Linked DNA regions of Macaca fascicularis. The protein of the gene in region 2 interacts with the protein of the main gene of each other region in a biochemical or structural test. Links are inferred from orthologs where the notes say so. Each region holds a gene or a part of one and is shown on either strand. Other genes may lie near its edges. The genes, in order: PKP1 and DSG1.

What was found.
Region 1: the proteins of DSG1 (region 2) and PKP1 form a complex in vitro, tested with the Homo sapiens proteins (2 studies listed by BioGRID and IntAct). The link is inferred for Macaca fascicularis from reciprocal best matches to the Homo sapiens genes DSG1 and PKP1.

What each region holds. Positions count from the first base shown.
Region 1 is NC_088375.1:59,013,048-59,017,465, reverse strand, and holds the start of PKP1 (plakophilin-1), read right to left. Parts: upstream 2,916-4,418; 5' UTR 2,716-2,915; coding exon 2,514-2,715; intron 1-2,513. UniProt on the Homo sapiens protein: A component of desmosome cell-cell junctions which are required for positive regulation of cellular adhesion.
Region 2 is NC_088392.1:58,528,967-58,532,781, forward strand, and holds part of DSG1 (desmoglein-1), read right to left. Parts: intron 2,937-3,815; coding exon 2,803-2,936; intron 2,455-2,802; coding exon 2,385-2,454; intron 1,023-2,384; exon of another isoform or gene 921-1,022; intron 398-920; coding exon 189-397; intron 1-188. UniProt on the Homo sapiens protein: Component of intercellular desmosome junctions. Involved in the interaction of plaque proteins and intermediate filaments mediating cell-cell adhesion.

The DNA.
Region 1 (4,418 bases), on a different chromosome or scaffold from region 2:
TGACTGTCCTTCCTGGGGTACAAGGAGCAGTGGCTACTCTTCCAGGCAACCTGTAGGGTGTGGCTGGCCCTTCTTAACTCGGGGAACTTTGGATGGGATTCAAGGGGCTCAGGAAGACCCTAGGCGAACTGACTCTGCTCTTGGAAGAGACTAAAGGAGAATTTGAATCTGTCCAGGGGGCGAGGGAAAATGTCTGGGCATGGTCCTTCCACAGCCACCAGCTCTTTCCATTCCAGGAACCAAGGCAGGCTCCTGACAGGTAAACCAGCATGAGAAAGAGGGAGCAGAGTGAGTAGAGGTGGCCGCAGAGCAAATAGGGGACGCTTGGGCGTTTCTGATGGAGAGGACAAGGAAATCTGATGAAAACGAAGCCAGCTAAACCAGAAACACCAGCTCCAAGTGACCAAACCGCCTCTTCCAGCAAGGATGCCTCTGGGGAAACCAGCCTCCTTTAGGAACCTCCGCAGAGTCTGAGGGTAGAGGGGACACGCCCACAGGGCCAGACCTTGGAGTTTCTGGAGAGGTAGCCATCAGCATCAACCCTCCCCTGAATGAAGCCCCCTGAAGGACCTTGGGAGGAAAAACAAAGAGGGAACAAAGGAGACCTTATCAGATAGAGGTTCCCCACAAAGACCAAGCCCAGAAAGTACACTTCAGGCTGACAGACACTCAGCCGATATCCTGATAGGTGGGAGGAATAAGGGGTCCTTGGGGCACCCAGGGCCATTTGAGTTTTCTGGAGTTGTGAGCCAAGAGCTCAGGCTGGGATGGAGTGGAAGTGGGAAGGGGACAGCCAAGTCTTGGGCAGAGAGGAGAGTAGGTTGAGCAGTGCCCTGGGCTATAGCCAGAAATGGGGCACTTTGTTCTTCCAAACCTACTTCTAAAGAGGCTAGGAGGCACCTACCAATGCACCAAATAAAAGGGAAGGAGGCATGTGCTCTGGAGGCGGCACGACCTTGAGTGGAAATGTGAGGAGAGGAGCCCAGGGCTCAGACAAAGGCAAAGAGCACAGAGCAGCAAAGGCCTTTAGGTCTGGGGCCCAGGAAGTCATCTGCCCGCCATTTTCCTTCCTTCGGCTCTACATGGGGCCACTCAGGAATGGGGGCTAGGGAGTGGGTGGGGGGACAGAAGCCAGAGGTAGAAAGTGTGAGGTAGGGGTGTGTGTGTGTGTGTGTGTGTGTGTGTGTGTGTGTGTGGTGGGAGAATGGCCAAGGCTGGTTTCTTTTGTCTCCTTCCACCTTATTACCCCCTGCCCCTCACTCTCTCCTAAGGCCTGTCTTAATAAATAAGTCTTGGTTCACCTGTACTGGTTAGTGGTGGGTAAAGTCTTTATTAGTATTTTACTAAATTTAGCTAAATAAAATAAGTAAATAAATAAACAAGGGGAATCTTTGCTCACTTCTGTGTAATTCTTACCAGGCATCCTTTGTATTAAAGCATCTGTTTGGTCTATAAGCTCTCCCCTGTCAGGTACTGCCCCTTCCTCCTTGAGTTTCGCGGGTGCTGCCCCTTTCTCCCAGGCTTCCCCAGTCATGGGCTCTGGCCTCTCAGAAGCTGGAGGAGGGGGTGCCAGGCCCGGGATCCAGCTTGGAAAAGTTCCCGTGAGGGCTCAGCTAGAGGTCTCCCTGGGGCCTAGGGGGATTTCCAACCTGCCATGCTCATTCCTTACTCTCCCCATGAGACACTTGTCTACCTAAGCTGGGTGGGGTAGAAAGAATTCAGTGGGAAAGAGGAGTTCTGCATTGGCTATTCGGGAAAGAAGGCATCCTGACCCCCTTCCCTGTTGTCAAGGGACCCACTGGCCCTGGGGCGGCCTTCCAACTAGGCTAGCCTCTTTCAGGAGGCTCCCAATAAAGTGCCCTGGAGTTCCAGGGTCTCCTCCCTGCTCCCTGTGCCACTTCTCCGTCCCGCAGCGACTCTCCTGAGCTGCACTCCTGTCTCAGCGACTCCCTCACGCCGCTCGCGGATACACACGCACACAGGGACTGGGGTTCCCCTTGGCCTGAACGCCGGGCATCGGCTGCCAGCTGAAGGCCAGGAGATCAAGCCCAGGAAGGTTGAAGGGTGGCCCACAACTGATTGCGAGCGCGGGGACCATGGCCCCCAGGACAGCCAGGGTGAGACATGATGCAGGGCTGATCCCTAGAGCAGCACCCGAAAGAGAAAGCCGTCCAGACCCAGGGCTCAGGGACAGGAGAACCGCTCGCGGGGGATCCTCAGCCTCCTGGCACGCTGGGAGATACTGCCGGCTGTGTCCGGGTGAACCACCCATCCTTGCCCACTAGCGCGCCATCGAGCTCGTGGAGCTGTCGAGCCAGCCTCGGGTGGCTGTTCCATCTGCTCGGAACCGGCTAGGAGTTCGGCTGCTGGCATTCGGCGCGTAGACCCTGCATGGGGCCAGCAGCCCCTCGCCTCCCCGCACCCCCTGGGATGCTTGCGTCCCTTGGTCTCCGCCGCTGGGCCAGGGCGCTCTGAAAAGGGGCGCACGGACCACGCGGGGACCGAGCCTTTACCTCGATTGGAGTGGCTCAGGGTGGACGACTGGGAAGACTTGGACTTCTGCCGCTTGACGGTCATCATCACCTGCTCCTGCACGCGCTGCCTGCCAGAAGTGCCTGTTTTCATCTTTTGGTCCGACGGCAAAGCCAAAGTGGAGTTGTCCTGGTCCTGGAAGCATTCGTACGCCAAGGCGGTCTTGAGCGGCGAGTGGTTCATGGTGGCGGGAGGCGGGAGGCGCGCGGCCGGGGCCTGGGAGAGCAGAGAGGCGAGGCGAGGTGCGGTGCAGCGGGCGGGCGGTAACGTGCTCTTCTCGCTCTCAGCAGCTCCCTACGGCCATAGAGTGCGTGGTCCGCGTGAGGGCTCCCGGCAGCTGCTCCTGGCGCTTCCACCCCGGTTCGTCCCTCTTTGGCAGTGGCGAGGCCCGCCCTCCGTCAGACAGGATATACCACCCCTGCCCTGCACCACCCACTCCACCTGGCCGCGCGCTGCTGCCGCTCAGACGCGGAGCTGCAGGGCACTGCTGCTGCGGAGCCAGCGCTCTTGGGGGCAGGGCTACGAGTCCCCCGTGTGGGACACTGGGCGCCTTCCTGCTCGCTCTTTTTTTCTCTCCTTTTCCTCTCCCCATGAGCAAGAAACGTCGCAAGCCTTGAGGCCCCAGGGAGACGCCCCTCTGTCCTGTTCTGCCGGCTCACTGAGAAAGCATGTGTTCAGCTCAGGAACCGAGGGAGACCTCTCTCTAGGAAAAAAGGAGTCTTTCTTGACCAGGCTGTCCGGGAGAGCCAGGCGTCCATCTCCCTCTGTACTGCGGTCATAGCAGAGACCAGCCTCGGCGGTGGAGGCTCCCGGGCTGATGGCAGGACCATAGCTCTTGCTCCAAAGGAGTGCTCCATCTTATGGGGGCAACCCAGTCTACTCTAAAGCAGTTTCCTCTGAAGCAAGTCGGGTAGGGGCAGGAAGGCCACATCAAGGAGCAGACTTGAGATATCAGACCACACAGTGGGTATGCCTTGGTGAAACTGGTGGTTATTTGTTGTTCATGAGTATAGCCCGGTAAAACACCACGTGAACAGCGGATCCTCTCTGAAACTCCACTATAGCCTCTGATACAATGCCTGGCACAGGTAATATTAGGTACTCAATAAAAGATATTTTTAAATAGGTGAATACATGAATGCTAGTTAATTTAAGGTAAATTAAATCTAACTTGGATCCTAACCAGATCCTCACTGAAAAATTGAAGAGCTGCTTTATCCTGAAACTCCACTCTGGACTTACTATTTTGGGACCACTGTGTGCATTCCCCTATGCACACTCACACCCCTGGGGACACATGTGCAGTGAAGCTTCATTAATGTAGCATCCTCCCCAGGGATGGAGAGAGCCCACATCAGTGAATCTGGTGTGTAACAGGAACCGAGTCCTTTTTTTTTTTTTTTAAGTATTTACTTTGATGGAAATATTTCTAAAAAGTATCGCATTCTGCTTTGCCTCCTAAAGCAAACAACACTGAACATATTTGCTGTACTTCTTGATGCCCTGAGTTTCACATTCTGGACATCCATTACTGAACTGTGTAGTCGTGCAGTCCAGTCAGCTTCTTAGTTTTGGGGCCTCCACCAGCTGTGTGACACTATCACAGCCGTCACTCTTGCTGTCATTTGAGGTTGCCCTTCACAGCTCACATGCTTTACTTTTAGTTTGCTCTTCTAATCTACGGAGGAAAGGGCAATCAGAAATCTATTCTTTTTGGGAATTTTATGTCGAGGAAGGATCTAGAAGACTGAATGACTGTCTCAGGGACCACATGAAGGTCACTCACGCACTTCCTGAGATGTGGGTGTTACATGCTGGGAGCAACATTCCCAAGGAAGGTATTCCTGGTAGCAATTTCCAGAGCAGAGTGTTGTAAAACAGACTGT
Region 2 (3,815 bases):
TGGGGAGTGAAGTGCTCAGGTCAGAGCTTTAGATCTATGATTAATTAACAGCATGGATTGTTGGACACAAACGCTGAGAATCTAGTTAGGAGACTCTTGCCCAAGCCCCTTTAGGAATTAGTGAAAGCTTGGGGTGAAGAGCAGCAGGCACATGGATGGCGAGAAAGACATGTGGCTAGGGACCTTACCTGACAGAAGTAGCTTTCCATGAAATTCATATTCAGACCTCCTTCTCTACATTCCCTCATAGAATTTCTTCTTAATGTTCCAGAGTACTCTTGACATATCTCAGGCATTCCTGAAGTTTTAACTCCCTCTGTTAGTTCAAATCCTGTCATTCTCTCTCCTCCTCCCAGATCTTGCATTTCTCTGCCACCATACTCATTTGTATAAACTCCTAAAAGTGTTGATCAAATTAAGTTTATTTTCTTTAGTCTATCACAAACTAAAAAAATTAACAACTTGCCTTATAATACATGATTTTTTCATTTAGGTATGCATTTGTGAACAAAGAAATAAAAAGATAATACATAAAGAAATGAGATATAAATACAATATTGAGCTCAAAATAATATTATTAATTTGTTAATTTGATAATTATCTGTTGAGAGATTACTATATTCTCTGCTGGAAGTGAAAGCTGCAGAGGACTTATAAAAATCTATGCCCTAAAGAGTTTGATTTCAACCTGAAGGAAATTGGAAGAAAAATACTCAAATTCTGAAAGTTAAAAAAATAGTGTAAGAATGCCCCAATGTGTAACTAGAAGCACAGGACATCCAGAAAAAGACATGAGAACCACTGGCTTTCAGAAAGGAAGCCATGGCTATGTGAGGAGAAAGGTTTTCATGAAGAATCTTGGGTTTGCACTTGGATGTGAGGAGTAAGTGGAAGCCTGTTACTGTATTTGAGGTAGATACTTGCTTCAGTAGCACATATACTAAAATTAGAACTATACAGAGAAGATTAGCATTGCCCCTGCACAGGATGATACACAAATTGGTCAAGTGTTTCATCTTTTTTAAATTAAAAAAATATAAAAAGAAATATTTGAGGTAGGTGAGATAAAATGATGGCTGGGACCGTGGAACTGCTATGGAATGATGAATGTTGTCAGTGGGATACGTATCCACTGGTTTTAGTACGTGAAGTATCTTGAGTTTGGGAACAGTGTACTTTTCATGCTTCAATTGTCCTTGGTACCTCTTATGGTGCTTTGTTCAAAATCTGTGCAAAAGTTTGTAGACTTAATGGGAACAAATGTGTAGATAAATACTGATGGATTTGATGATTTGATAAGTCTTGAGAACTGTTTTGATGTTAGTGAATGTGAGTCAACAATGAGATTCTGCTTTTGAGGTGAGAAGACATTGGGGTTGTTAATGAAAATGGACAAATCAGGTGGAGAAATAGATTTAAAGATTACTGTGTCCAATTCTTTGAATAAGTTCCAGTTCTACAAGTTATACACATGTCTATGCCTGTTAGAGTTTAAAGTAGAAAACAATGGTTACTGTTTAAAAAGACTAAGAGAAAAATACGCTAACCAATAGTATTTATTTACCTTGAGAAAAGTAATGTGATACAACTATTTTCACAGATATGGATGTTATTTTAATTGTTCTTTTATTATAGTGGTAGTTATCCACTTACTGTGAAATTCTAATTGTTCCCTGGTTTCTGCCTGTGAACTGGTCTAGATTCCTGTTTTAAGGCAAGTTGGATTTATACAGTCTTACCCATGTGCTAGAAGAAACTCCACCACGTGCACACAATCTCAGTTGAGAGCTTTGAAAGATTTTGATAGTGTTTCATCTACTTGCTTTGAATTAAAGAAATTGGACAAATATTTTTTAGGTAATATTTGTGATGATACTGAAAATGGATGTAATTTTTTTCTATGTTATAATAAGCAGCTAAAGTCAAAGCAATTCTGAATCCTTAAATTAATTGTGTATAAAGATTTTAGCCTCAATCAATGAGCACAGGTCTATTTTAGTCGGGTTGTGCTTTAATTTGAATTAGTGTATATATGTGTATGACATATGTGTGTGTATGTCTGTTAATGAAATTTGCTCTATTAAATTAAAAATCTTGACTAAAACTTACTCATGGTTACAATTCAGTACTTCTGCATATATAGAGATCCTAATTTGGTCATCTTCTAAGTACTCTTTGATGGTTGAGGAAAACTTTTAAAATGCAGCATATAAGAATAATAATTACTGTAGGTTTTTCCTTGCCATTTAATTTACAAATTAGTCATTTAAAAAAGAATGATATAAACACTTTTGAAGAAAAATAAGACCATCAAACAACAATATGCAAAGAGAGAAAACAGACTTCCTAATCATTTGAGTTGTTAAACAATGTTTTTTTCTTACCTGAGTTGTCAATGCATTCAATTATATTTGCATTATCAGGTGGTATTTGTGGTATGATGGTGGTCATAACCTAAAAGACAGGAAACAACATTGCCATTTGTAATGACCAATGACTGTAATCTTTCTATAGTCACACATTTGGTTTATTCTCAAATTACCTCAGGTTTCCCGGAAAAAAAAAAAAAAAACTATTTAGGAAATGCTGAAATCCATTTAAAATTTGAACTTCTCTTAGAAAACCTTCCCTGGTTACTTCCATCTAATTTTGTTGTGCTTTTGATTCCTCTTCATTTTCCCCATTAGATTTCTCAGCACAAAAAACAGCATAGACTGTGAGTGATGGCGGCCATCTTGGTTCATGTGTAAAAACTGAATTTCAGTGACTACCAAAGGCTATTTATTAGAATGTGGCACTTACCCCGGGTTCAGGCTGTGGTCCTTCTACTGCCCATGAATGAATTGCTCCATCTGAACATTCAGGAACAGGCTCAAAGCCAGCTGCACTACGAGGAGCACCTCCACAATCACAACAAATCATCAAAAATGGGACCACTGGTGGTGGAAGGATAGTAATACTAGATTAGCGCTTGGTGCAAATAAAAAACAAAACAACTTGACTTTTTATGGTCAAATTTGAATTCCTGATATAATTCCGGTTGGTTCTAAAATTATGAAAGTTTCAGAATACAAGCTGAGTAATGGTCAGAGCCCAAAGCAAATAGGAGCTTCTGTATATTAGACTGCAATCAATTTTAGTTTGTTTTGTAGTATTAAAAATTACAAATAGTGGGACTGGCATGGTGGCTCATGCCTGTAATCCCAGCACTTCGGGAGGCGGAGGCGGGTGGATCGCTAGAGTCCAGGAGTTTGAGACAAGCCTGAGCAACATGGTGGAACTCCATCTCTACAAAAAATACAAAAATTAGGCATGCATGGGGGCTTTTGCCTGTAATCTTAGCTACTCCGGAGGCTGAGTTGGGAGGATGGCTTGAGCCAGGGAGGTTGAGGCTGCTCAACCAGGGAGGTGTGCGGTGGTTGTGCCACTGCACTCCAGCCTGAGTGACAGAGTGAGACCCTCTCTCAAAAAAAAAAAAAAAAAATTACAGATAGTATTACATTATTAAAACCAATTAATCTTTCTATGTCATTATTTAGAAAAATATTAAAGGAGAGAAGAAGGAAAGATGAAAGGTCAGGCAATATAGTTGATCCTTTGTGTTCTCTCCTCCATGTCTTTATTTTCTTCCTTTTACATATGCTTGCCTTTATTTCAATGGTAAAATCTTATTCATGCTTCCAGCAATTCTCCTTGAGGCTACTATTTCCCCCTATGCAGGTGTCTTTTCTTTCAACAACTCTTATACAAATAGAAAACATCACGCTGCTTAGCAGTGTCTTCTGTTGTTAATCAAGTGGAGTTTTCTTATTTTT